Linked DNA regions of Tamandua tetradactyla. The protein of the gene in region 4 purifies or fractionates together with the protein of the main gene of each other region. This does not show direct contact. Links are inferred from orthologs where the notes say so. Each region holds a gene or a part of one and is shown on either strand. Other genes may lie near its edges.

Evidence for each region.
Region 1: the proteins of DCAF7 (region 4) and CCT6A purify together in Homo sapiens (affinity purification with mass spectrometry; 3 studies listed by BioGRID and IntAct, counting the BioPlex papers as one, with this or other methods). This does not show direct contact. The link is inferred for Tamandua tetradactyla from reciprocal best matches to the Homo sapiens genes DCAF7 and CCT6A.
Region 2: the proteins of DCAF7 (region 4) and CUL4A purify together in Homo sapiens (affinity purification with western blotting; 4 studies listed by BioGRID and IntAct, with this or other methods). This does not show direct contact. The link is inferred for Tamandua tetradactyla from reciprocal best matches to the Homo sapiens genes DCAF7 and CUL4A.
Region 3: the proteins of DCAF7 (region 4) and FAM53C purify together in Homo sapiens (affinity purification with mass spectrometry; 3 studies listed by BioGRID and IntAct, counting the BioPlex papers as one, with this or other methods). This does not show direct contact. The link is inferred for Tamandua tetradactyla from reciprocal best matches to the Homo sapiens genes DCAF7 and FAM53C.

The regions. Positions count from the first base shown.
Region 1 is NC_135349.1:18,495,428-18,502,466, forward strand, and holds the start of CCT6A (T-complex protein 1 subunit zeta), read right to left. Parts: upstream 3,002-7,039; 5' UTR 2,890-3,001; coding exon 2,753-2,889; intron 2,284-2,752; coding exon 2,220-2,283; intron 704-2,219; coding exon 569-703; intron 55-568; exon of another isoform or gene 1-54. UniProt on the Homo sapiens protein: Component of the chaperonin-containing T-complex (TRiC), a molecular chaperone complex that assists the folding of actin, tubulin and other proteins upon ATP hydrolysis.
Region 2 is NC_135330.1:183,681,189-183,688,747, forward strand, and holds the start of CUL4A (cullin-4A), read left to right. Parts: upstream 1-4,556; 5' UTR 4,557-4,671; exon of another isoform or gene 4,672-5,459; 5' UTR 5,460-5,461; coding exon 5,462-5,618; intron 5,619-6,021; coding exon 6,022-6,168; intron 6,169-6,989; coding exon 6,990-7,105; intron 7,106-7,559. Other genes in the region: PCID2 (PCI domain-containing protein 2), read right to left, coding at 3,993-4,028. UniProt on the Homo sapiens protein: Core component of multiple cullin-RING-based E3 ubiquitin-protein ligase complexes which mediate the ubiquitination of target proteins. As a scaffold protein may contribute to catalysis through positioning of the substrate and the ubiquitin-conjugating enzyme.
Region 3 is NC_135346.1:18,004,440-18,011,410, reverse strand, and holds the start of FAM53C (protein FAM53C), read right to left. Parts: upstream 3,019-6,971; 5' UTR 2,693-3,018; intron 2,619-2,692; exon of another isoform or gene 2,239-2,618; intron 1-2,238. Other genes in the region: oocyte-specific histone RNA stem-loop-binding protein 2-like, read right to left, coding at 5,437-5,527, 5,670-5,822, 6,893-6,971.
Region 4 is NC_135332.1:4,678,403-4,686,111, reverse strand, and holds the start of DCAF7 (DDB1- and CUL4-associated factor 7), read right to left. Parts: upstream 3,008-7,709; 5' UTR 2,786-3,007; coding exon 2,648-2,785; intron 1-2,647. UniProt on the Homo sapiens protein: Involved in craniofacial development. Acts upstream of the EDN1 pathway and is required for formation of the upper jaw equivalent, the palatoquadrate. The activity required for EDN1 pathway function differs between the first and second arches.

The DNA.
Region 1 (7,039 bases), on a different chromosome or scaffold from region 4:
CAGCGTCAAAACCAAGGGAACTATATAAAGCACACTTGGGTGTTCACTGTGCAAACCAAAGACAATGTCCAAACTCAAAACTACCCTAAGTTGCAGTTAATAGGAACAATTTACTTTTTCTGGAATTCATATCATTTACTAATAAAAACAAATACAAGGAAAGCTAAGAGTCTGTTTTCTCTTTGTTTCCTGTAAAGTCATTCTGACATTGAATTTGTAGTCATGGAGTTTGCTGCGGCCCTGGAAGTACTTAGGAATAAAAAGGTTGTGAAATTCTGATTTAAGGTTTTGGTTGGCCTTCCCTTAGAAATATACATAGTCATACACATTTGATTTCTAAGCCCCTATATATTAATGTCTGTAGAATAAAGATGGACATAAAAATTATATGCAATGCAACTTGATAAAATTGTTTTTTCAGGCAAGGAAGATCCCTCATCTTGTCTGGGGTCAGAAATAAATTTGTGTCAGACAATGAAGTAACTATGAACACATCAATTACTATAAATAAAATTCAGGTATTTCCTATATATACAATACAATTCAGAGATGCATAAACCATGTATACTTCAGAAATGTAGAGATCCGCTTGTTTCAGCAGCTCTCCAATGATCAGGACATTTGAAGTAGTACCATCACCAGTTATGTCATCCTGGGCTGTTGCTACTTTTGCTATTAAGGAAGCTGTTGGGTGTTGAATTTGCTGAAAAGAGAAAAAGAAAAAAAAACCACTTAATGACTTAAAATGAAGCAATCCAATTATACCTCAAATAAATGGGTAAAGGGCCTGTTAAAGTGCTATTCATTTAAATGAACTGCTAAAATGTTCGGCATTGCTATTACTGTATACCAATTCATTGTTTAAATCTCAGATTATCTCCACTGCAGAAGCTTGAAGTTAAGGTTTAAGATGACAGAACAATTAACAGCAACAGATGAACCCTACATTCACCTCGTTTTCAACAGCACCCTAGTCTTAATTACATAGGATCCAATCAAGGCTTCTGTACTGCATTTAGTTCTCATGACTCACTATAGTTCTTTAGTCTAAAACAGTTGGCCAGCTTATGTCTTTGGTGACTCATTTCTTTTTAGAATCTAGGTTTTGCTATTATCTAAGATTTGCTGATTTTTGACAAATTGCATACTTTTCACTGTGTCTTATCACCAGGCACATTATGACAGGTCATGGAAAAACTTTTCTTTTGGATCTGGAAAAACAACAAAGGCAACAAGCTAATAAGGACGTTTGAGCAAACAACCGTAAAAACAAGTATGAACTGTGTATGAGATTAGCATTGTGTCTATTTCTTAGGTGTGATAACAGTATTTAGTAAATCCATGTAAAGGGTATAGATCTTAGTTTTTCAAAATGAAAAATTAAAAATGGATCTCTTGAGATTGGAGAAAGAGAGACAAGTGACAGCTTTGGAGGTGATAATGCTTTATTTCTTAAGAGAGTAAATGCACATGATTGCTTTACACTTATTTGTTAAACTGTAAACATTGTACTGCTTCTCTTTATTATAAATACAAAACAAAAGGCAAAGCAAATAAGTATCTGATCAAAGAAATGCAAGTTAAAAGATATTTGTAATAACCACCATGTAGATTTGACTTTTCTGACATGTTTATGTGATTGCTCCCAATTGTTCCCTACTGGCATTGTCACCATTTAATCCATCAAAACAAACTATACCGTCTAGGTTAGCTAGTCCTTACTGAAGAATATTTGGATGTTGACGGCATACTTGTCTACCATCAAAATCCTAAATTTTATTCTGAACTCAAATCACAGCTCATTCCCTCTTTCTGGATTTACTGTTTTGGCAATTCATGAATGAGTAAAACGATTATTACTTTCAAATATCTCGTATTCTCCAGCCATTTGGGACTTTAAAATGGTAAAGCCTTAAAGAAAAGGTTTTATTTCCCCGCCACTTGCAAGTAAGATGGAAGGGCTTTAAAAAGTGAAAAAGTGTGATCATCCTGTTCCATTTTGCCCATCTGACTCTATCAATCACTCTTAATTTTTCAGATGCTATTTTAATTAACTTTAATATTATAACTGTTTAAAAATGTAAGTGAGATCTAGATCCCATCACTGTATTCTGTCATATTAACGATGGCATTCCTAATCTTGAGAAAAGACAGATTTTCCCACAAATCAAACGTACTATGGAAAATCAAGACATTTTTGTCCTACAATATCCTCTCACCATTTCATGAAGCAGCACATTGCCATCTTTAGTAAGCTTGATGTCTCCAGCTCCAGAAACAAGCCTGTTCAATGAGCAGAAATTAATTACTGTGATTTTCTCTCCAACAGAGACAAAATAAACAGTCCCATTTAAAAAAAAAAAAGTGTTTCATAAAAAATCGGGCTTCATCCACAGCTCCACAGCTTCACAGGGCGCTGGAAATCTCTATTCCCAGTCAACAGAGATGGTGCAGTGCCCACCCCCTCCCTTCAGAGACAGTCTGCCGAACCCTCATTACCGCAGGAAGACATAGGGATGGTGGGGTGGGGGGTGCGGCGCACGAGGGCGGCTTTGTTCCCCACGGAGGCCGCAAGAAAGAATAGCCGGAATCAAGGTACCCGGCACAGGAAAATAGGACAGACCCGTCCCGGAGGGTGCGGAGGCTCGGAGGAGACGGTTTCGAGTTCCGGGTTCCCCGCACCCTGGTCCCGTCGAGCCGCGAGGTGCGCGGTCCCCGGCCCGCCCGGCCCTCCCCGCCAACCCTGCCTCACATCTTCATGGTGCCCTTGGGCCCCAGGTTGGTCCTCAGCACGTCCTGCAGTCCTCGCGCCGCGCTTATGTTGACCGCAAGCGCCGCCTGGGCTCGAGCCACCTCGGCCTTCGGGTTCAGGGTCTTCACAGCCGCCATAGTTGACCCAGCAGAGACCGAGGAAAAAAAACCCAAGACCGATTCAGCGTGGCCGGAAGGTGATATTCGGAACCCTTCTGGAAAAGTCGGGTACGCTAGGCCCGCCCCAGCGTGCGCGCGCGCCGCCGTCATTGGGCCGCGGCTCAGCCGGCACCCGCTCATTGGGCAGTGGCCGCTCTGCCCGAGGCTCCGCCCCACGTTCTGGGCTCCTCCCCCTCACGCCCTTGGCGCAGCGTCATTGGAGCGTATTCCCCTGGCGCGCAGGCGCCTAGATTTCCGGTGTGGCGGCGGGCTGGCAGGAGTTTAGGGACCCTGGATCTCAGGACATAGGCAGGGGTGAGGCCTGCGGGAGAAGATTGGAGAGCAAGCAACCCTTTCCTGGAGTCTTCTATCCTCATAGCTTAGGGTGGGCTTCTTCCCTCCCTCACTTGCGCGATTTGCTCTGTTTCCTTCCCCTGCCTCTTTTATCTCTTTCACCATTTAAAGCAATAAACAAATATACATTCTTTACATTTTTAAAATTTTTTATTTCAACATTTGTTCCCTCTATTATTTATTTTTAATCCATATTTTTTACTCATAAATGGAGGATCAGACACAAGATTTTCACAATCACACAGTCGTCGCATTGTGAAAGCTGTATCATACAATCATCTACGTCTATACAATCAGCTCTACAGTTTCAGGAATTCCCTCTAGTCTCTCTAATATACCTTAAACTAAAAAGACAATTCTATACTTAGCTTCCAGAGGAGCCGCCAAACTGCCTTCCACAGCGGTTGTACCGTATGACGTTCCCACCAACAGTGGATACGTGTGCCCCTTTCTCTACATCCTCTCCAGCACTTGTGGTCTTCTGTTCTTTTGCTAATGACCATTCTGGTAGGTGTGGAATGGTATCTCATTGTGGTTTTGATTTGCATTTCTCTAATAGCCAGGGAAGTTGAGCATCTTTCCCTGTGCCTTTTAGCCATTTGTATTTCCTCTTCTGAGAAGTGTCAGTTCACGTCTTTGTAATTGGGTTGTTTGTCTTTTCGTTGTTGAGTTGAACAATCTCTTTATATCTCTGGATACTAGAGACCCTTATCTGGTCTGTCATTTCCAAATATTGTCTCCCATTGTGTAGGCTGTCTTTTTACTTTCTTGGCAAAGTTCTCTGTTAACTGTTTGCTTTGTGCCAGATTCTGTGGAGATACAGAAACTAATCTGATGAGGACTCTCCCTCCTCAGAATTAAACCTTGGTATTTTAGACTTTGCAGAGATAAAGGGATGTAATAAAGCAAGGTAGAAGTGTTAGATGTCTATAGAAAGCTACGGATTGTTGCCATGGGAGTCGAGGAGAAGCAACTCAGTCCTCTCGAATGGCTCAGAACAATATCCGAGGCCACCATGCCTTAAAGGCAGGTTTGAAAACAACTTAAAGGCTTCATAGACCAAAAAATTCCAAAAGATTTCCAAAATTGTTTCCTAACATCTAATCCTCCCCCCCACCAGGTATGTGATAATGTTTTTGTACTTTGTTTTTAATAGATGCTAATGAAAATTGTTAGGAATTCAGAAGATGCAAAAGAACATAAGGTAAAAAGTTAAGTCTTTCTCCCTTTCACATTTCAACTTTTTCCAGGCAAGCACAGAGAGCTTCAGATACTTTCTGAATTCCCCCAATGATTATTTTAATGCAATTTTAGTGACATATATTCACATACCATACAGTCATTCCCAGATGATTTTTAAGTTTACAAATGTATGTAAATTTTAAGTACTTTTCTCACACAGATTGGCAATTTATAATATGCACTGTTGGATGACCTGCTTTTTGGGGAAAAAAAAGTAAAATTTCTCATCCTCATTAACAGCTGCATAACATTCTTTGTAAGAATGATATAATTAACAAGTAACGTATTGATTGGCATTTGAATTGTTCTCAATCTTCCGTTTGGTCTGCGGTGAATATCCTGGTGTATAGTTGATTTAGGTAGATTTGTATTTTTAAGAACCACAAAGACGTAAGTTTGAGTAACAGCACTACACGGTAGAAGGTGACTTGTAATTAGTTCTGCAGACATTTCTTAGTGTGAGTGTGAATTTACCATAACCACTGTTACATAAGTATGCGGAAAATAGGTATTATCAGGTGAACAGAGATGAGGGTGATGGAATTTCTTGCATTTTTTTGTAGGTAGGGGAAGGGAGAGTGAGAAGACTTCTGAGTGGGCTGCCTTGGTCAGGTCTGTGACTAGAATGAGGCCAGTGAAGCACTTAGCTGGTGTGCAGAATTTAATGGGGCACCCAAAAACTCAGTGATCTACATTAATAATACTTTAATGAAATATTTTTAGATATCAGAATTAATGCCAACAATCCATGATAGACAAATAACAGTATTTTAAATTAGGTGTCTCCACTGATTCCCTACCAGGCATTAGTCAAAATTCTTAGCAAAAGGATCCAGACAATCTATTTGCATGTTTCATTCTGCTAGTCTCAGTCTCACTTTCAAGCAATTTAAAGTATATGGTTAAATTGATTATTTTCAGTATATGATACAAAATAGAGTAATATGGATTAGACAATGTTTTGTCTTGTTTTTAATCCCTGAATAGGGATTAAAAGAAACAGCTGCCTCTACCAGATGGATTAGGATTAAAACATGGCTTTTCTAGAGCAATGTATGCTAATGTTTGTAAAGAATGAGGATTTTAGAATGCATTTTGGAGAATTTCAGACAAAAAGGTAAGCTGCTTTGTAGTAGCTGTTCTGGTTTGCAAGCTGCTGGAATGCAATATATCAGAAACAAATGGCTTTAAAAAAGGGGGAATTTATTATGTTGCAGGTTTACATGTTCCAAGGCTGTGAAAATGTCCAAATTAAAGCAAAGCTATAGAAATGTCTAATCTAGGGCATCCAGGAAAACATACCTTGGTTCAACAAGGCCACTGATGTTTAGGGTTACTCAATTGGAAAGGCACAGGCGAACATGTTGACAGCTGCTTTCTCTCCAGGCTTCTTGTTTCATGAAGCTCGCCTGGGAATGTTTTCCTTCTTCATTTCCAAAGGTCTCTGGCTGCCTGGGCTCTCGTGGTTCTCATGGCTCTGAAGCTTTTTCCAAAATGTTTCCTCCTTTAAAGGATTCCAGTAAACTAAAGAAGACCCACCTGGAATGGGTGGAATCACATCTCCCTCTAATCAAAAGTTAATACCCACAATTGGGGTGTCACATCTCTGTGAGAATAATCTAATCAAATTTCCAACCTACAATGCTGAATAGGGATGAAAAGAAACAGGTGCCTCCACAAGATGGATGAGGATTAAAACATGGCTTTTCTAGAGCATATAATCCTTTCAAATCGACACAGTAGCAGATTTATTTTCATCCATGATTAAGAAATTGAGATGGCAGCTGGTGTTCAGCCATTCGATTAAGGGGGATTTCCAATAAAGGAGAAAATTTTAAGAAAGAACCTAATGAGACAGGGCAGTGTATTAGAAAGAATTGTAGAGTCAAACAGACTTGTGTTTGAATACTGGTTCTGCAGTGTTTAACAGTAAATGACCTTGGACTTAACATTTTTGACTTTTAAATTTTCTAATCTGTAAAGTAGGGGTAAGTGACTTCTTAGAGAAAATTAAAATGAGATAGTATATTTAACATGCTTTGCATTATGCCAGACATAGAAGGTATTCAGAAAGTTGCTACTGTTGTACTTGTAATGTAATGCCAGTATATACTTTCATAACACCTTCACATGCAGTGTCTATTTTATCCTGATAATAGAACTGTTTTATCCTAATAATAATCCTTTGAGATTGATAGGTCAAGTGTTATTAAACTGGTTTCACAAGTGATGAAATAACACAGAAAGAGGCTATATGACCAGCTCAAGGTTACGTTTGGAGGAAAGCCAAAAACCTAGGTTTCACTCTTGAGTCCTCCATTTGCCTCAGTGCCCATATCTAGATAAGCCCTGAGTGTTTTCAATTTTACTTCAGTCTATGCACTTTTCTTTGTCCCATTTCCACTACACAGGTCTAGGCCGCAGTCCATTCTTACTTGAATAACTACCATAATGTTCTTAATAGTCACTTTGGCTTTTCTTTCCCATGTTGCTCCTGGAGCCCCCTGCCAAAAATAAATCCACAAACCACAGC
Region 2 (7,559 bases), on a different chromosome or scaffold from region 4:
TTGAGTAAAGAGATGAACAAAGTTGATCTGAATAGGACTGAGATATATCTGAATACAGGGTAAAGGATGATATTATCCAGATTGGTCAACATGAAGATGAATTTGAGGCTGAAGATTAGGTGAAGCCTCACCTCATAGGGTTTTACTTAATAAAACAAGTGCATTGTGTAAGATGAAGGAACATTTAGAAATATACTTAATTTATGGTGAATAAAAGCATTGCACTCTCAAAAAAAAATGTGCATGGTTCCTATTTGGAACAATGAAAATGTTTTGGTAATAGGTAATGGTGAGGACAGCACAACATTGTGAATGTAAGTAATAGCACTGAAATACATAGTTGAATGTAGTTTAAAAAGAAATATTAAGTTGTACATAAGGAAAATAATTTTTAAAAATTTAAATCCCCAAACAGTGAAACCCTAAACAGTACAATTACAAAAATATGCTTTCGTCAATTGTAACAAATGTCCCACATAAATGAAAGGGGCTAACAAAAGATCAGTGTGGTGCTCTGAAGCTGTATGTCCCCCAAAAAAACATGTTCTTAAATCTAATCCATTCCTGTGGCTATGAACACACCGTGAGTAATCTCATCTTCAGTTAAGTAACTTACTTCAGTTAAGAAGGTGTTGCCTACCTCAATCAGGACCGGCCTTAATTCTGTTACTGGAGTCCTTTATAAACGGAGTGAAATTCAGAGAGAGAAAGCTACAGGAAGCAAGAGGTTCATCATCCATGCAACTCGGATGAGATGGAGAGACCCCACGTGCCTTGCTATGTGAAAAGAAGCCAAGAATTGCTGGCAGGCAGCCCAGAACACCAGACTTCAGGTGGAGGCATTCCTTTGATGATGCCTTGATTTTCATTTTCTTTTAGTCTCAACACCATAAGTTAATAAATTCACATTGTTTACATCAACTATTTCATGGTATTTCCTGAACAGTCTAGGAAACTAAAACAGGTAGCAACTCTGTATTTCATGTATGACTGTTCTGTAAACCCACAATTTCTTTAACGATGGTGGGAAAAAAGACAACTGATTAGAAAATAAAAATTTTTAAAAAAGGAGGACTAAAGGAGCAGTCAGTGCTCCTTTATTCCTGGAAATTTTCCAGGAATTTCCCCCAAATTCCTGGCTTGGATAAATGGTTAAAAGATGGTGTGATTTATATATTGATTCAGTTCCACTGGCACCTATGTTCCTAAACAACAAATCACACATATCCTGTTACAATGTATAGGTGCAACAGCTTGCCACCCTGTTTCAGAGCTAATCAAAATTGATACTGATCAAAGCATGAGTACACTGCCCAACTGCACAATAACCAATCCTGTGACACTGGGGTTTCAAAGGGAAAAAGAGCTTTATTGCCCAACACAGAGCAGGGAGAATAGGAGGCTTATGGACCTCAGATCTGTCTCTCTGAACTGTAGTAAATCCTAGAGTTTTATAGTATTCAAAGATAGGCAGGTTTAGTACAATAAATATAATGACTTTAAGATGACAAAGATAAAAATGACCTAATTACTGAGCATGCACAAATTGATTTCATGCTTAGTCACAGAACATATGTGAGGTATAGGTATTATAATGAGGGATAACCTGTAGGTTAAGGTTTAAGCTACTGTGCATGTGAGGTCAATTATGATTAGAACTAACTTTGTCTAATAAGATAGCCTAGGATTTGGAATGGGTTAGTTCTGAGTTAACTCAAGTTCCTTCATTAATAAAGATTAAGGGACTGTCCAAGTGATCACAAGACTTCAAAGTTGCAAAACAAGATAAGGGGGTGCAAACAGGGCCAATCATGAGTTATGATGATGTTTTACAAGGTAAAGATAATACAGTTACACAATAAAGTATCATCATCATAGATCAAGGCATCTGGCTTACAGTTCAGTGAGTTTCGATAGTGTCAGGTACTTACTTTTGGCTATTCAACAATATATCACAAAGTAAGAAAGCATCTAAATGATTCAGTTACTATAATCATTTGCTAACTCTAGATTACAAAATGGTACCCATTTTTAAAAAATATTGAAGGATCTGTTAACACATATATGTGCCAGGCCCAACCAAAAATACTTTTCTCCATCAAAATTAGGAGGAAGTTGATTTTTCAAGTTCTCACATTGGTAGCTACTTTGCCTTTGGTAAAGCAATTGGGCATGAGTATCTTCCTTGATTTTCATCCTGGACCCATTTCCCTATCCACATTCCACATCCCATCCCTTCTCACAGTCTTTTCCACAAACTTTACATTAAAAATTCTCTATATCTTCAACCTAAACTTGTCTACTGAACTCTAGACTCCCATATAGTAGAATCTTTCTTACCAACCTCACCTTAACTGACTTAACTAGAATAAGTAAGTTTCGTATTCTCTCCAAACCCTCCAAAAAAATACTGGCTGATGCCCATGGCAAGATGAGGGCTTATACCTGGTAGGTTTCACTCTAATAAACACTCAAACTTTTGCCAAGTAATTTGTGTGTGTATCCAGATCCAGATGTGTTTATCCTCACATCTGTTTTTCCTATTTGTGCATGTTATTGTAATCATGTATTTAATGACACCGATGAAATATGAATGCAAAAAGGGAGTTTCTCACAAACTAAGTTGCATGCTTTAAAAAGGGTCTTAAAAGGTGATCTTTAAAAAAAGGAATTAGGTGCAGGCAGAAAATTGAAAAAGATGAAGAAGTACATAAAATTCTATAGTGATCCTATGTTCAAATCCCCTCACAATAGCCTATGTCCTCCTTGTTAAATAAACTGACATTGAAAAATGCTAACTCTGCAAAGACAAGACAAAGTCAGACCTATCCTTAAAGTAAAGGTCTTAAGCCTATATCAAAAGATTGGCAAGGGAATGGATAGCTGTAGGTTTTAAATTCATATAAAAGTATGTAATTGTTTTTTTTCCATGATTCCCATTTTTAACCAACTATTTCAATTAACTAAGTAATTACTGGCCCAATCATGTCAACCACCAACTAGATATCTTTATTTATTTTTTCCTCCAAATCTGTTTTCTACTCATCCATTGCCTAAGCTAGAAACCTGAAAATCATTCTTAACACCTTCCTGTATCTCAAGCCACACATTCTTAATCCCAAATCCTGGTGATGTTTCCTTCAAATATTTCTTAAATTCTTTACCTCTCTTCTTCATCCTTACTACCACTGTTCTAGTTCTAGCTCTGGAAATACACATTTTAACTGTTCTTCTGCCATTTACAGGCTGTAAAGACAAAACTTCTGAGAGACACATTTACTAAAGGATATAAAGTATGCAAAGCGTTAACAGAGAGAAGGAGTGTACTAAAGGTTAACTATGACTACATAGTGGATCGCACCAGAATTACACGAATAGCCTCTTAACGATTCAGCCCCATCTCTTATTTGAGTTGCCTTAAATTCACCCTTCAAACTTCCACCAGTTAACTATCAGAAACAAAAATGTGACTAAATCAAGTCCTTGGATAAGATCCTTCAATGACTAAGGCCAAACTTCTTAGCGTGGCTTACAGACTCAACATGATCCACTAGAACACTAGAACATCATGATCCATTCACTCACACAGCTCCTTTATACACACACACACACAGACACATACATACACACACACTTCCCTAAATTAAAGGCAGCGAATCTCCTGTAAGTACAATAAATATATCTGCTTAAATCATTAATTTCCATTTTGCAGAGAAGAGCTCAGAAATATTCAGCAAACATTAATTGACTTGCTTACGATGACAGGCTAGCAGGACATTCTGACCCTTAGTCCTGAAATGCTCTATAATATCAATTCCTGCTTCAAATCCTCTTGCCCTTCAGGTGAACCATTCAGTGAAAAGAGCAATAGGCAAAGGGAAGAAATAACAGACCTCAAGAGCACTACGAAAAGATGGCACATAACGGTGACACCAGCCGAGGGGTCAACCATCAAAGCACCACCTTGTATTCTCCCCCAGCCAATAAGTTACCTGCTGTAAGTACTGGTTAATAGTGATGTGAGCCATGGAAGTGGACCGCCGAGTCCAAAGCAAGAGTGAGCAACGATCACCGCCCCTCGCTGGATCTCCAGAAATACAAGCTGAGTTCCCACTTCCGCTGGCGCGCTGGCGTCACTTCCGAGCCGTGGTCCGTCTCTCAACCCGAGCCTCCGAGGTGGTCTGGTTACACCTTCCCTTAGCTGTTGGCTCCTGAAGAATTCCCGCGGGAGCGGGAGTCAGAGATGGCTTGTCTGCGCGCTGGAACTTCCGGGCCTCAGTCGGGTGGGACAGCGGGAAAAATGGGCTGAGGAAGACCGAGTTGTGTCCTCGGGTCCTCATTTCCAATTTGGTCCCACCCAGGACGCACTGGGGCAAGTCAGATCATAGATGAAGGGATAGGTGAAGTGTCATGGGAAGGCCCCTGAGACCTGAGAGGGTTTGGGATTTCGTGGCAGAGGACAACCTCATAGCGTAGCTTGTCTTTCGACTCCTCTCGACTGTTGCATATTTAAAAAGAAAAAAAAAATCCGCTGTGTTAAACCCTCGTACGCCGCTGATCTACTCTCAGGCCCTGGTACTTGGGGTACCGGGGCGCGCACGCGCGGTGGGAGTGGCCGTTGGCCTCACGCTGAGTGACCCGGGTGGCTCGCAGAGCGGGGTCTCAGGGGAGGTGAGCGTGATTGGCCGCCCCAGAACCCCTCATCCTCTCAGGGCACCAAAGCTTCCGTGTACGCAACGGAATCCAATTACACAGATCAAGATGGAGATTGACATTAAGTCGGCCCCGAGCTGAGGGCACCTGAGCCATGGGGACGGGACGGGAGAGACGGGACTTGAGAACAATAGCAAGGGCATGAGAGTTGGCGGTTGGCAGGAAGCTCGTGGAAGACCGGGCTGAGCCACAGAGGGCAGCAGTCACTGCGGCTCGTGCAGCCACGCGCGGGGCCGGCCCCTTTTAGTCACCGACTCTCCCTTCCCGAGGCGGAGTCCCGAGGAGCCGGGCCGAGGGGAGGGGGCGGGCCTAGGAAAGTTGAGGCCGCCGGTGGGGGCGGAGAGGAGGCCGGGTTCCGGCTCCGGCCGGCGGCAGTGTTTACTCCGCACCGGCGCCGGTTCCCAGCCAAGCGGCCGTGTGGGCGCTGAGATTACTTTTATCTGGGGAAGAAGGGAGGGCTGAGAGGAACTGCTCCCCTACGTCTCCGCACAGACTCCCCCGAAACGCGCTCCCGAAGGAGACACCCCGCGGCTTCCTCCGCTCCTCAGCCTGCCGGCGGGGCCTAGCTATCACCTCCAGAGGGGGCCGGGGCACCGGGCGGGGGCGGAGAAGGAGGCGGGGAGACCAGGCCGCGGGGGAAGGAGGAGGAGGAGGAAGCGCGGCCCGGGCCGCGACTGGAGGAGGGGACAGGCCAAGGGTGGGGGTGGGGCGGAGCGGTCGCCACCGGTTTGTTTTCTCGGCTGTAGACATGGCAGACGAGACCCCCAAGAAGGGGAACTTTTCGGCTCTCGTTGGACACACCAATGGCCTAACGAAACCTGCTTCCCTCGCAGCAGCCGCCGCCGTCTCCACGAAACCTGGGGGCGGCAGCGGCTCAAAGAAATTAGTGATCAAAAATTTCCGAGGTAGGTGCAGGAGGGCGATCGTGCCTTACTGTGGGGGAGGGGAAGCTTAAGTCGAAACGGGTCACGGGCCGCACCGGCCCCGCGCGGCGTCGCCGGGACCCTGGGGAGCCCGGCGGCCAGCTTGACGCACCTCATCGAGGCTGCGGGGGTGATCGTCCCGGGAGGAAGGGGCGGCGAGAGCGGCTTCCTGCGCCCCCCGCGGGCGAGGCCGGCGCGTTGGGCCGCGCTGAGGGGACGTCGGGGCGGGGACGGCCAATGGGGAAGGGGCGCGGGTCGCCCGCCCCGCGCACGCGCCGGGCTGACCTGCGCCGACCTAGCCTGCGCTGGGCGGCGCGGAAGAGGGGCTGCGGCATTTACGCTGTGGTACTTGGTGGTCCGCCTCCCGCCACCGTCTACTTCCCAGTGTGCATGCAGGCCAACCCCTCAGCTTTCCATCGTTTGCTCGTTGGATTTCTGTGCAAGCCCTCTGTGGCTGTTCATCACGTCACTTTCAAACTTGATCATCACTTTGGTCCGGTCACCAGACGGTTTTGGACCCTACACCTTCTGGGTACGGAGTGGAGGAAGGTTTTAAAACTTGTGCAGGGGTTATAGGACAATACATTTCTTTTCTAAGATAGTAAAAGGCCCAATGAGTCGGCATTTTAACCTGATCCTGCAGGCCACGTTTCCGCAACTCTGCCGGAGTTGAGCATTTTCTACATCAAAACTAAAAAACCTTTCTTAAATGTGTGAAACAAGGGCTTTTAAAACCTTACATGACTACATGATTTTGGCGATTTATTCTGTAATTTAACAATGTGCCAAGTTTTATTTGTACCAGTTTTTTCATTACTCTGCAATTGATAGAAAATTACAAATTAGGTCAAATAATTAAGGCATCTTGATTCGCACAGCTCAACCAGAGTAACTTCTGAAGCTATACATTTTTCCAGTTTTTACCAGCCCTATCTCGGATAATAGGTCAAAGCAAGCGTTTTTGATACAGGTATATACAATCTTAAGCTCATTCTTCACCTTCCTCCCAACATTGCATAATTTAAATAATTTTAAAATATTGTGTAGAGAATAACTATTCCATGTTATTACCTTTCTGAAATCAACTTAAGGGAAAAAAACTGTAAGATTTATAAATTGTCTTTCGTGTATTTATCCGAAGTATCAATGCCGAATATATTTAGCAAAACAGAAATAATATGGTTGCATAACTTGTAACCCAATACATTTATAAATGGTGTTTAGAAAATTCACTTCCTATGTTCGTACCTATGTGTCTTTTCTTTTAAATTCTTGGTTTGTAGACCATTTTAAGAGATGTATAACTGTTAGCATGGAGGTCTTTCTGCCCTGACTCTCTATCTGGATTTGCAGACAGACCTAAATTGCCTGATAATTACACTCAGGATACATGGCAGAAGCTTCATGAGGCAGTGAAAGCCATACAAAGTAGTACCTCCATTAAATACAACCTCGAAGAGCTCTACCAGGTAAGCGTCCAAGTATGTTAAAAAGTAGAATTTGCCAGAATTTAGAGACATGAATGCAGAATTTTTCTGAACATGGAAGACTTCAAAATTTGTTTAGGATGGCATTTAGTCTCTACAATTACCTGGTTGTTTTATGGCTTAAGTTAATTATCCAATTCCTGTGAGTTACGATACAAATTTAAATTACGTAATTCGCTCAATATTGTTTTCAGAGTCAATAATGAAGGAAATAATATAAATCCAAATGTCTCACTATGTTTGCCTCATACATTAAAGGGTTGTATAAAAGTGTGTCCCACTGTCACCAATTATTTATGGTTGTTGGTTGTTGGCTTTTTATTTTGTTTTCAGGCTTAACTTGCCTAGAAAGATATTCAAGTTATCCAACTACAATAAAGAGGATAGGTATTTCTAAAAGCCACATGCCCCTAACATTTTCCAAATATGTAGCAAA
Region 3 (6,971 bases), on a different chromosome or scaffold from region 4:
GATCATGGATACAATTAATCAAGACTCCCTTTCTCATGGTCAATTTCTGGTAAAAGCAAACTATTAGAGAACAGACTTCAAGGCCACACAATTGCCTGAGGGGCCTTGCTCAAGGGAAGTGGGAGGTTAACTTAATATCTCAATGATTTTGTTCTGCCCATTCTCAGAAATGACCAGTAGGCAAACAGCTCATCAGAGGGTATATGTGGCATTTGCTAGCAGAGAGAACAAAGGACAAAGAAATCTAAATCTCAATTCGACTTTCGGCAAATCTTTCAACTTTCCTTGGCTTCAGTTTACCCATATTTAAAATGGGCAGAATAATCTTAATCTGTCACAGGGATGACGTAACATGAAATATGCAAAATGTATAAAAGCATGCAATCTAGCCTGTACAACTCAGGAGTCCATCAAGGCTACCCTTTCTCACTCCTCCTGTTCGTTGCTTTACAAAGCCACGGGATGCCAGAAATTATGGCATTAAAATAAAAAAAGCAACAGGCTCTATGTCTCTGGCTGGATGCCAGCCTTGCTCACCTGGTACCACAGAAGCCCAAGAGGGCTCTTCCTTCTGTGACCTTGGGGGCAGATCACTATATTCTTAGGAAAAAAAGAGGGAATCATCACTATCCCATTTCCACCTCAGAGGGAGGCCACAAAGAGCAAAGAAATACACTCAGATGTACTAATCTACGGTGCATCCACGGAGTACTTGGAATTACTTGGAAGAAAGGTGTGGGAGAAATCAATCATTATAATTAACTACCATTTTCATGAATAATTATTACCACCCTGAACAAAGTCCCAGCTTCCTGAGGGCTCCCTTCAGCTGCTTCCCCTATGTTCTTGTGGTAAAAGCTAAGGTTTTTATCATTTCTGCTCTTGGTTTCTTAACCCTGCCCTCTAAAATCAACCAGAGAGGGAACCTAACTGCAGGCTTTTAACCCAGAGACCTCAGGCCTCAGGCTGACCAGCCATGAGGAGCAGGGAGTGAGGCAAACTCTTTCAAGCTTTTCATGAAGCATTTGGCCAAACAGCAAACTCCCAGCCCTCTCTGGGATCAAGTGAAGAGAGTGATATTGTGTTTTTCTGAATTTTAATTGTTGGGATGTGGCCACACACGGCGGTAATTGGAACAATGCAACTACCACTACGCAACTGATACTGTTAGCCTGAGTTTCCTAAAACAGGCCAGGCTGAGAGGGGGAACAGAACGGAAGCCATAAGGAATCAAACCAGGACACAAAAGAAGGCAAACCAGCTCCACGAGGGGCCTCTTCTTTCTCAAGCAGGCATTGAAAAAAGTATGAGAAGCCCTCTCTTGCCGCGTTCCTTCCCCTTCCATTTTGTATATTTGAGGGGTAGAGTCAGCCCTGAATGTGCACCAAACAAGTGAAAACTTCTCAGCTTAACAACTGGCACGGGGCTCAAGCCTTTACAGAGCAGCAGGCCGCTAGGCCCTCCCCACAACCCCACCAGGCCCAACTCTCAGCCCAGGCTTTACCTCCTCCACCAGCCCCCCAATAAAAAGATCGAACCCCCATCCCGTTTCCCATTCAATGGCAATAACCCGACACCAGGGTCTCAGGGATGCTGACGTAGTGCTGAACCTGGAGAACCGAGGATCAAGTCAAGCGAGGTGGGGGGGCAGCGCGAGGGAGAGCCACAAATCCCCTAGGAATATTGCCCCCCAGGTCCCAGCCCCACACCTTCTGGGAGACTGAAGGAAAACATGAGGGAGTCAGGAAGGTGCAGGAACAGGTAAGTGGGGATCCGAATGGTCTTCCTCCATATGGTTCTGGTGGGGATATGGGGTGACAAGTGGGGAACACCCCTCCCCCCCACTCCGATGAAGAAGCAAAAGGCCAGGCCCCCTCCAATCTTCAACCTCTCCCTCCGCTGCCAGTCTGTCTTCTCGGGGTGGGGCATGGGGCATCCGCTGGCCCTCGGCGTGAGGGGCGCGAGGGCTCGCTGAGGGGGGGCTATCGCTGGCCTTTTCCCACTCAGCTTCCATCATTTGGCCGCGGGAAACAAACTCGGGACGCAGGGTATGGAAAGGGTCTAGGACTTAGCACTCCGCCTCCCCCTCCCCCACCAGGTCCCGTGCTCTCCCGGCGGAGGCGGCCGGCGAGGCCCGGCCGCGCTAGCAGGCGGGCTGGGGGAGGGGAGAGAGAGGAGGGAGGGACGGCCGAGGTGCCCGCCCCGAGGCCCCAGCGCCACCTGCCCTCCGCCACCTACCGCGGCTCCTCCAGCTCCCAGGGCCGCGGCCGGAGCAGCTCTGAGCGCTCGGTTCGCCCCACGGTGCCCTTAAAAGGCACCGGCGCTAACCATCGGGCCCCTGAGGAGAGTGGAGGATTCGAGGTGGTTCGCAGAATCCCTCTGATCTGTCCGCGGGGGCCCGAACCCCTCGTTGTTTCTCTGTTACAGTCTTCCTCGAATAGCTTTGTCGGGAACCAGCCTGGCGCTTTGATTTAGCAATGGGGGTGGTTGACTCCCCATCGAGTCAACCCCCCAAAATATTGCAGAAGGTGGATGGATCCAGTTGCAGGCATATCTTGAAACCCGCGGGGGAGGCAGTGTCCGACGCAGGTAATTAAAGCCATCGCCCTCGCCCCCTATTCCTCCATCGGCCCAAGTGCAGACTCCCACTCTGTTTGGATTGTGTAATAGTATTAACCAAGGTTCCTCTCACCTGTTCTCCTGCCCCGCTCTCCGCCGCCTCCTCTCTGAAGGAATCCCCCTTCCCCCAGCAGAGGACTCGTCCGCGGCGTGAAGGCTACCGGGAAGTGTAGTCCAAGGGCCGATTAGGGCCTGCTCTGGTTCCGTGGATCCCCCCTTACAGCTGCGGGATCGGCTCGAACCTTATAAACCCAGGACTTAATAACGGTCGCGGGGCGGTTCCCACTTGATCTGTAATTAGATCTCACCCAAAATACTTTGTAAAGCTGAGGAGGGCCCACGGTTGTTCACACCTCTTTCCTCTTCGCAACCCCCCCACCCCACCACCAAGAGGATGAGGTAATGGGATTGTGATTATGACATCATAGGCGGTTCAGTTACTTGCGGGGGCGGGGGGGGAGGGAAGGTGGGAGGGAAACGATGGTTACGTCTGGACCACTTTCCTTAAGACAGAGAGGAAGCAGGGAAAAGGGGAAAAGATGTTGTCTAGGTTTTATTTCCTCCTCAGGAAGAGGGAAACCTCCTTTTATTTAAATCACCGCCACGACCACCTCCCACGGCAGCCAAAGTTTAAATCCTTTTTAAAGAGACTGAATGTAGATGTTAGTAAATGAAGAAGTTGGGGAACAGCTGGATAATTTCTGGTTCTGGTGTAAATTTCTTAGCTAGCAACAAACATGGTTCAGAGAGACAGGCAAAAAGAATGAAAAAGGAGAGGTTTTGAACAATTGCTTTCCTGTTGTGATATCTCTTTGTAGGGCAGAATTTTAGATTTTTTTAATTGATTGGAAAGTAATAGTAATGCAAGTAATTTTCACTATTACACTTACAACAAGCCCCTGAAAGACATCTGTTTTCTCTAACTATTTTGTGCCCCACTCAGATCTGGGACAGGGTAAATGGCTGTGATCAGCTAGAAGTAGAGTCAGTGGTAGGGATCTTCTTCACAGAACCAGGGAAGGAAGGAGGCAGGAGCCACCGAGTCCACAGACTGAAAAAGAAAAGAGTAGAGGAAAGGTGAGGTACTTATCAAGAAGATAGGGGTGGGGGGAAGATTTACCTTGCACTACATATTTCTCCTTGGGGGGAAAAAAAAGAACAGAGAAGAAACCTTGACATATAGAAGACATGGTTTCCAATGTTGTGGAGCGCTTACATACCAGGCACTGTGCTATATTCTTGAAATAAGTATTCTCACTTTTGCTTACAATTACCAAGAGACAAAAACACAAAACAAGACAAAAAACAACCCTAATTTGGCAAATGAAAAAGCCCAAAGGATAAGTGACTGCCCAAGTGATGAGTAAAGGTAGTATTAAAAATCAATTCTGCATAGCTCAAATGACCCCAAAGAGAGGTATGGAAAGATCAAAGGTGATGGTGAAATTATACATAGAAGATAGGACTTAACAAATAAATATGAACGCTGGATCATTAAATTGATCTCTTTTAGTTTCCAGTATTTTAGAGGAGCTAGAAGTAAAAACCTAAAATTGCGAAACTGTAACCCATGTCAAAGTCTGAAATAGGTTCTACAACTAACTGTGGTGCTGTGCTTTGAAAGTTATAGCTTTTTTGTATATGTGTTATTATTCACAAAAAAAGAAGAAAAGTCAACTGTGGTAATAAAAAAGTATTTAAGTCCTCTAGCCTCCTATATTCTGGAGCAGCTAGAAGGAAAAATATGAGAGGATCGTATGGTAGCCCATGACAAACTCTGGGATCTGTCCAGTAACCACTTGTTGAAGAGTGCCTTGAAAACTGTTGCTTTTTTATTTCTTTGCTTTGTATATATGTTATACTTTACAATAAAAAAAGTTTAAAAAATCAATTCTGTAAATGTATTAAACTTGTACAAAGAACTAATAATAGAGTGGTATATGGGGGGAAAAGTACCTGTTACAAACCATGGACTGTAGTTAACAGTAATATCTTAATATTCTTTCATTAGCAGTAACTAACATACTACACCAAAACCAGGGGACAACAATAAGGGGTGATAAGGGGCATGGGGTATTCTGGGTTTTCTTTTTATTGTCTACTCTTTTTCTTTTTGGAGAAATGAAAATGTTCTAAAATTGATTGTGATGATAATTGCCCAACTAGGTGATGATACTGTGAGACATTTTATACTTTGAATGGATTATATGGTGTGTGAATTTATCTCAATAAAATTTGTAGTTAAAAAAAAAAATTAATTCTGCCCCCAGTACATCCAGAGGATGACCCTGTAGATGTGACACGAATCTGAGCTTCAAGGTACATTAAGCCATAAAACAAAACTAAAAACCCTGAAACCTTAAAGCCCTTGCTCTTCACCACTAGGCTATCCTCCTTTTTATTGTCATCCATCCTTCAAAATGTTAAATGATTGAGTAAAAGAAGTTAAGTTAGCATTGGCTCACTTGAAAAACACTTAAAAAAGAATTGACAAACTTAAAAAAAAAAAGTCAAGTTTCATACAAAGAAAACTTACATCAGCTTTCATCAAGTGAAAACAATACCTGCCCTTCCCCAGTGCCACCCAAAGGCCCACCCCCACCCTAACTATAATTAAATCTCCTTATACCATTCCTAGTTCTCAAGTGTTTTACTCATGTTCTGCTATTTTTTCTGTTGCCTCCTTTTCTTTCTTTTGTTCTTGTGCTACTACCTTGAACCCCATCTTAATTGTGACTTCATGGGCCAGTCCCTATCTTTGACTGTGCTCCAGTGGATTTCAGCAGAAGATACTACCTTCTGGTCTCCATCCAGATCCTATGAGGGTTCCAGGGCCTGGAGCTTGTCATCCAGTAGGTCATCCAAAGGGGTAGAATCCACTGGCTGTAAGAGTTTCTCCATTCCCTGCCTAGGAAGGCAGCACAGTCAGAGGAATATGCATCTCATACAGTCATTCCCTTTTCAGCCAGTGAAAGCTAAACCTCTGTTGGGTGGGGAGACGTAGGACTCAGCCCACCACTCACAGAAGGAACCAGAAATAGCAAACACACCCCTCATCCCCACTGCCCTGCAGAGTCTGGCTGGGGGGGTCCCAGGAATGCAGGGCTTTTCTCCACTGTCTGATCTGGGCATCCCAGGAGCGACGGCTGTACTTCTTGTTCTTGTTTGGAGTTTGAGGGTGAATCCCTGGCTGTCGCTGTGCCCTAGTAATGAGAAATGTGGGTCAGACTGAGGTCAAGGTGAAAGGGAGCCCCATATAATAGGGGGCACAACTCACTGCTTATCATAGTGAATGAGGAAATTTGTTAGTGATTCCTGAGAATGGTGTAAGATCCATGTTCTTGTGGAAGGCTGAGTTATGTGCCCCAGAAAAAAACATGTTCTTAATCATCAGCACTCCTGTGGGTGTGAGCCCATTATAAATAAGACTTCTTGAAGATGTTAGTTAAGGTTGGGTGCAACTGAATGAAGGTAGATCTTAATCTGGATTACTAGAGGCCTTATAAAGAGGACTTGGAGGTCAGAGAAGCCAGAAAGGAGAAGCTTTTGTAATGTGACTAGAGGCAGATAGACAAGCCAAGGAAATCCAAGGATTGCTGACAGGCAGCACAAGATGCTACAGACCCTCAGGAGAAAGCAAGCCTTGCTAACATCATGATTTTAGACTTCTTCTAGCCTCAAAACTGTAAACCAATAAATTTCTATTGTTTAAGCCATCCCATTGTGTGGTATTTGTTATAGCAGCATGGCAAACTAAGAGGGTCCTCAATCCAACAAGAAAAGTAAATCTTCCAATCACATTAAACACCAAACTTCTGACCTTCGGGAAAGGGTAAGTTAGATAGTCCCAGCTTCCTTGGAAGCCAAAATAGACATAAAAGACAGTGTTTATCTTCCCTTTAAAATGAATTCTACCTTTTCATACATTTAGTTTGTATATATACATGTAAATTTGCATGTAATTAAGCAAGTATGTTGCAATTATCCAACTCAGCTGGAAGCATGAGGGGATAGTAAAAGTGGTTGGAAGGAAAACTACCTCATTAGGAAACACAGGTAAAGCTTTAAAGTCTTATGGGCCAAGTATTACTTGTTCCATTAAAAAAAAAAATCTTAGAAACTTATCTTTAGGGCTAGATTGCAGGAGACTTGGTTTTAACAATGCTGTAACTTTGTGAGAGCACTCAGATTTTAGTATCTTTCCATCACCTGACATTGAAATACAACAACTTGGTTGACACCATTGTTGTCACCATCCCACAGGTGCACTCACTTGGGGACCTTTTGCAGAAAGCACTGATAGCCAGGTGTGCACTTGCCATAATCTATTTGTTTTTGCCGCCGCTGCAGGA
Region 4 (7,709 bases):
AAAAAAAAAGCCATTTCTGAGCTTTTTCATCAATATTAATCTGCGAGGTGTCCACTGATTTTGTCTTCTGCTAGCAGTCACTATCTGTGGTAAGCAGGAACCAAAGATCTGAAAATTCTAACCAATAACTTTTTAATTACTCTAAATTATGAAGTCTTCCACTTTTGTGGAAAGGGTTCTCAAAAACTTAGTATCTGAACCACTGCTTTAAAGTGGGATTTACTGCCTACCACCCTCTAGGGGTTCCCCCTGATGTCCACGAACTTCAATTGGAAACATATTCCCATTTTCACTAACCTTCAGCTGAAATTTAGCATTTCCTTCAATAAGGGATGGAGGGAGATACAGCATTAGCAGTATCTGTGACTTTGTCACCAATAGAAGTCACTGATTTTTTTCACTTCACATTAGTTTTAAGCCTATCTTGAAATGCTGTTTACCCTCTTTGCTATTTCAAAATTACAGTTATAATTATACTAGTTATTGTTAAATGACCTGATGTAGTACATATTACTACATCACCACTTTAAAAAAATGTTTTGGTAACTGTAGTTAAATATAACTATTTTTTTGGGTACTCCTATAAATTTATGGATTTGAAAAAAAAATTTTTGAGAAAGGATCTATAGACTGCAGACTGCCAAAGGTGTACATAGCACACATACTAAAGTTAAAAGCCATAACCTATGGAGAGGTGGAGACATGAAAATAGTTTTAAGATTCTGCACTGACTACATCATGCAAGCAAATTAAGACGCAAGTATTCATTTAATCTGTTACTACTAGAATTATTAGTTTGCATTTCACTATCGTGTGTGCTCAGTACAAAGGAGGAGAACCATACGGTTTCTGAAGGAAAGGACAAACTTGGGACAGAGTTTCTGCCACTGAGGTTTGACACTAACTGCTCCACAGATTCCATGACAGCCTGTGCCTCAGTTTCCCCTATCTTAGAAATGGGACTACTATTTTTATCAGACCGACCCTGGAAAAAATGTGCAAAGAGTAAGAAAAGTCTTGTTTGAGAAGACTCCAGACCTTTGAAAAACATATTTTACTTTTTTTTTTTCCAACATGCGTCCTTAAACAGTAGTTCTACTGGCCTTAATTTTACTAACACGGTTTCCACATCAGGGTCCCAAAATCCATTTCAACCTCTGTTGTCCACTATGGATCAGCCATAAGGAATAAACGGCATCAGAGAAAAGAAGATAAAGCTATGTCTTGCGCAGGACTCTGTTGTCTGTGGGCAATGGGTGGACTTGAACATCAGTGCATACTTCCTAGGGTTTGTCCGTAAATTGTTTTTACATGCAATGTAGGCAATGCAAGTCCATTGCTTTAATCAATTTCTCAAAGGGTACTACAAAAAAAAAATTAAGACATACTCTAGAGTAACTCGTGATCCTGAAAAACAAAAGAAACAATATTCCTGAAAAACAAAAGAAACAATATTCTCAAATACTTTTTACAGGCTTTTGACATGTAATAAGGAACCCCTTTCCTACAGCACACTGTGGGTCAAAATAGAACTCAACTGTGCAATACCCCCAGCTGGGCAATGTACCGACAGGATTCAACCTTAGACCATCTGGCTTTTTATTCCCTGCACCATGCTTTTCACTGTCCAATTTTATTCTTCCTAAGTCTGTTATCATGGTTTAAACGGGAGTATTGGCTTTAAACATCACCAGTCAAAGCTTTCGGTTGTTCTTGATCACTATCAATCACAACATTTACTCAAATATAATAAAAGGAGATCAAGGGGTAAAGGAAAGAATAGTTCCCCCCCGACTTAGTCAACAACTTTCAAAACTAAATGCATGCTTCACTGCCAACGTAAAAGCTTCCTCTCCTACCAAAGCTTCTATGAAGGCTTCTCAAATTGGTGGATATCCAAAAAGACTACTCAAGGTTACACATCTGTATTCGCATGAAAGGAGCCAAAATAACATTATAAAAAGCATCATCCTTCCTTAGGAAACAACGGAAGGTCCGTTGCCATGCGCCAATACTTTCAAAAAGAGATCACTTTAGAGTGGACGGTTATCAGGCGGCAATACCGATGGCACTAGCGGCAGAAGGGCTGGGAATCATCAACAGTACCTGGGGGTGGAGGTGAGGCAGCCTGTGCAAAAAACAGCCCTAAGCCCTAAAGGGAAATCTAGTGTGGCCAGGAAAGAACGACCACCAACCGAAGCGCTGGCATTTCCCTCACAGCCATCACTCCCTGTTCCCTCCCCCGCCCCCCAACTGAAGCACTGCGGCAGGAGGGGAGGGGTGGAGAGGGGAGGGGAGCGGTGGGGAGGGGAGGGGAGGGGAGGGGAGGGATAAATGGCGTAGCTCGTGTAAACTCAGGTTTGAGACCTGCTTCCGTCACGAAACAGCTGTCTGGCCTGACGAGTCACAACACTGTGCCTCGGTTTCCCCATCAGTCATATGGGGATAACGACACTTCCGATTACACGAGTGCTGCCACAATTAAAAAAAAAAGAGAAACCCTCAGCACAGGGCCAGATACGTAGGAACGGCTCCATGGCGCTAAGGCCAGTCCGCAGGGGGATTCTGGGGTCTGGGCTCCAGTTCCGTAAGGGCGCTCCCGGGGCCCGCTCCCCGCCAGCTGGGTTCCGAGCCCTGCCCGGCCCACCTTGTTGTTGTATTCCTCCACGAAACTGCCCAGCGCCAGGCGAAAGCGCTTGTCGGGCCGCACGCTCCAGTTCATGGCGTAGACGGTCCAGGGCGCTTCATACTTGTAGATCTCCTTCCGTTTGCCGTGTAGGGACATGGTGGCGGCGGCAGGGCCGCAGTGAGGGCCGGGTCGGCAGCTAACCGCAGCCGGCGAGGAGTAAGAAGGGCTGGGAGCCGGGCCTGGGACTTAAGGGTCCGAAGGGAGGCGGGGCGGGGGCGCAACGAGAGAAAAGGCAGCCGGGCCCGACCCCCACTTTCAAACCTGCTAGGGTACCGACAACAACCACCTTCCGTTTGGGACGCGGCCCCGCCCCCTCCGAACGGAAGCCACGGGACCACCACAACGGCTCCGGCCTTTGGCTGCCTGACACGTCCTTTCGAACCATTCCTTCGTTTCATTGGTTATTATGACCGTAGCTTTTGAAGCCTCCTTTCTATTGGCGTAAATGCGTGCCATTCCAACTTCTCGTCCCGCCTAATTCCTGGGGGCAGGCGCTTTGTTAGCCACAAAGGTCATTGGCTGACAAAGATGTCAATCAGAGGGATAACAGCGCAGTGCGGGTGAATGGGGCGTGGGGTAGAGAGGCAAGCCTGTCAGGCAGGCGGCCCTCCAAGTTCTAGGCCAAGTCTTTGAGCGTGAAACTTCTTGTGTGACCTGCTGTGACCTACCCGCTGTTGCAGTTACTCTAAGCGGCCTTTCCACGCTGTCGAGTAAAATTTAAACTCTGCCTGTTGCATTCGCGGCACTGAGCCCGGCGGCTTGGCAACCTGACCCGCACGGAACGGGAACACTCCCTCACCCCCGCTTCGCATGCTTCCAACGCCCCTTTTAACCCGGACAGCTATTCTCCCATGCCCATAGGACGGGCCTCGGACCCGCCTGTTGCAGACCTTCCCGCGCTCTCCTGCGATTCCAGATATGCTCGGATTTCTCGTTGGTCTTCAGTAGACAGCTGCACGACCAGCTTGGCTCCAGGTTCATTTCGGGTACCGTCCCATCCCATCCCATCCCATCTTTTCCCCCCACGGGATCCCGAGGCAAATGCTAACCGAGCCCGAAATGTATCAGTGCCGTGACTTTGAAATGGAGAAAATGAAAATCTGGGTAACATCTTTTTATAATTTAAATGGTTTCCAATTCTTTGCTTTCAACAAAAATGAAGGAAGATTGCATTGACTTGTTAGATCATATCATTAAATACCATTTTTAATGATAAATGTGATTATTATACAACTCGGAAAAAATTAAAAGAATTGAGTAACAGTGCTGTAACAACCCCCTTCTAGTCCTAGCCACTTATTTATGTGAAAAAGTTTTTTTCTGCACTGAAGTTTAGGGAAAAAAGAAAGAAAAATACCAACAAAACTGTTGCTGAGGCTTACCCTATTCTAATAAAAAGTAATGATATTCATCCACAGATATATGACCTAATTGGGGGGGAAATTCCCTTTCAATCTCTTTAAGGAATGCATTTCAAAATTTTTAGTTTTTATTAAAATGTGAATATATATTTATCTTGTTTTGAACAACTTTATACTAAGAATAAATGTAACTCCTAAAGCTTTAGCAACGTTTCAAAAAATTAATTTTAAACGTTCAATTTATACTCCTGTTTGTGCTGCAAACAGATGTTGTAGGGTGATTAATAATAGTCTTTGAAACATGAACATGAAATGCATGTAGAGTAAAACAGGGAAAGTAGTGGAATTATGAGTAAAAAGAGAAAAAGGAATGTTAAAGAAGGGCTTGTTCTTGTGGATAACGATGGCTTTCAAATCACTATGCTATCTGGATCACGAGTCAGTATAAATAAGGGACAAAACAATTTTATAAAGTGTCAATATTTACAAGACAGTGGGAATCACATCTTTTGCAACGATTTAAACTTATCAGTGAAATAGTTCAGCTGTCAATTTAAAAATGCATTAGGGAGGGATACAAATGTTCAAATTTCCTTTAGGGGGTACTTGAGCAAAAATGACAGAAGAGCCTATTTCAGTGCAGTGCTTAACTGCACAGGTTCTCAAGCCAGAGACTGGTTTGAAATTATATCCTCCTACTGTGTTGGGCAAGATTCTTTTTACTTAAAAAAAATTTTTTTGTCTTTTTTTTTTTTTTTAACCAAATTAGAATTTACACATAGAAGTGCACATTTGTTCACAACATAAACAGAATGTAACCAGCATCCAGATCAGGAAACAGAACACGACCAGCCCCCTGGGAGTTCCCACCATGCTTGGGTAAGTTTCTTAGTCTTACTCTGCTTTTGATTCCACATGTCTAAAATAGAGGTAATAATACCAACCCCATAGGGTTGTTGTGAAGTTTAGATGAACAGTCTTCAAAGTGGGCAGCGTGCTGCCAGCACAGGATGACGGCTATGTGTGTGTATGGCAGTTGGCATGATTCCTGACAGCCACCAAGTCAGCACCTCCCTGCTTCCCTTCTCCCTGGCCTGGCTAAGAGCCCATGCTCTGGGGGCTCCTGGGTCCAGAGGAGCCACCTTTCAGGTTTCCAACAGTGGATGTGAAGGACAAGCTCCCACCTGCATGTGAGAAGGGCTTGGAGAAGACCACAGCTATTGAGGACCTGATTATACACCTGAGCCAACATGAAATATACAGACTTGTGTTTGCTGCTTACTTTGCGACACTCTACTACCTACATGGGCCCCAAGGTTATCACAGAACTGTCAGGGGTGGACTGGAGCTCTGTGCCTTGGCAGGTCAACCAAAGAGGAGGCCATCATCTTCAGCCAAGTCAAAGGCTTTCAGCAGGAGGTCTGACTGACCCTCAACCATGGGTGCTGGGTCCTGGGCCATGAGGTCGGGCTGGGTCTGAGCCAAGAAGTGATCCCATAGAAAACAGAAACTTCTCTTTACTTCCTTGACTCCTTAGTCCTCTAAGCTACTCCATACCAGAGGCACCCACTCCTCCACCAGGTGTGCTGTTTAAACAGAACCCTGGGGGTGGCTGGAAAAATCCCAAGTCTTTTCACCCACGCCACCTGGGTCACGCAAGTTAGCAGTTTGAAGTTACTCCGGGAGAATGATTTTCAGAGGCCCATTTCAGACAGCATTTTGGGGCTGTCTGCCTCCCCTAGGATCCTTGACACTCACCCCACCCACTTTCATCCTTTCAGAATGTCTTTTATCTTGGAATTCAGGGGCTCTAACTTCCTGCAAATCCAGGATCTGAGCCATATCTCTGGAACGCCAGCTGCTTAGGGACAGAGCCAAGGGATTCAGGGAGGGAGGGGAAGCGAGGACCACAGATGGGCCCCTGAACCCCTGGGGGACACAGAGGTGAGGCCAGAGGTGACAGGAGCCCCTCAGGCTTCTCCTGTTTCGAGGATGGTGCCAGAGCTTTGCCCACTGCCACAAGCAGATGATGCATCCTGGAGGAGCAATTCCTGCTCTTCAGTGGACATTTGTCCAAGTCTCTACAGCTTGAGGTCTAGGAGGGGCAAGAAATGATTGGAGGCATGCAGAGGGGCAGCCCCCAGGCCAGGCTACAGGTTCATCCACCCTGACTTCAGGGGTGGGAATTGGCAGAAACTATGCTTGCTCCTCCTAACCTCAGGCACCTGCCACCCTTGTCCCAGCCAGGAGGTCACAATCTGGGCTTTGCCACCACCCTTCCACACTGCCCTGTCATGACTCAAACCAAAGAGGACAGTAGAAGCCACAGCTGCTCTGGGTCACCGAGGCCCTGGGTCTGAAGCCATGCTGGGGGAGGCGGCATGCAACAGCTCCAGGCAAGCTCCTAGATATCCCCTCACCTGCTCACCTGTGCAGGCGGCAGGCCGTCCTAGGGTTGCCTGGGCCAGGGACTCTGAGCTGCTGAGGTCACAGGAAACAATGGCAGGTCAATGGAGGCAGGGGCTCCCTGGATGGAGTGGGTGCGGCCCTGGGGCGGGGGCTGCTGAAGGAGCTGTAGGATGCGCCTAAGGTCTGAGGTCATCTGGAACTCCAGCCTGCCAGACAGAACCCCATAGTCAGGGTCAGGGTTGGTGAGAGCAGTTCAGGTCCTGAGGACAGATCTCAGTTTTGTGTAGCATGGTAACTAAAACCCTTTCCCCACTAGGATCCGAAGCCCCTGCCCCAATACCCCTAAGCACCTCCCTGATTCCCATAATAATAATGACGAGGCGCCACGCATACATCCTTCTTCAGTCCTCATAATGATGTCTTTGGCATTGTGCTTTGGGACACTCAGAGAATGGGGAGAACTGTAGCTAAATAGGGCTCACCATCCTAAAAAAGCAAGGCTGGCACAGTTGTCAGCCAGGCACTCAGTGAAGTCCCTAAGTCACAGAAGGGAGCACCCATGCCCAGCCCGTTTCCGGGCCCACCCTCTGTAACCACTCCATGCCCTGGCCTGCAAGGCACCCACCTGTTCAGCTGGGCCTGCAGCTGCTCCAGCCTGGAGCCCAGTTCCTGAGGCCAGTTGTCTGAACCTCCCTTAGGGCTTGGAGAACTATGCCTCAGGGACACTTACTGAAGCAACTCAGGCCAGAGGCCAGATGCATCTGAGGTGCTCAGGACAGAGGCTACACCTGTAGGAAAGAAAGGGAAGCCCAAGCCCCGGTCTATCTCCTGTCCACAGGGCTGTCCCTTCTCAAGCAGACCTGTGCCTCTCCCCCAGCCACCATGGGAACACGGGGTGGGGGTAATGGATCTCCTTATCTAGGTACCCCAGAACATGGAGTCTTGCCACCTTAGAGGTCTGGCTTCCAAGGCTCGGGAGCTGTGCCCTGGGAAGGGTGTAGGGCCCCAGCCTGGGGAGACCGGCTGGGTAGAAGCTTCTAGCTCAGGCCTCACTGTGAAGACACCTGCAACCCAGGGGGTCTCCTGGTGCCTTGCTGTAGAGCCCCAGGGGGCTGACCTGTATCTACCCCTGAAAGCAGCGCCCAGCCCCTAGCCAGCCTCACTCCCTGACCCTGAGGACACAGGCCATTAGGGCTGGGAAGCTGGGGAGGGAAGGGGCAGGGGCCTCTAGCCCTGAGGAAATGATTGAC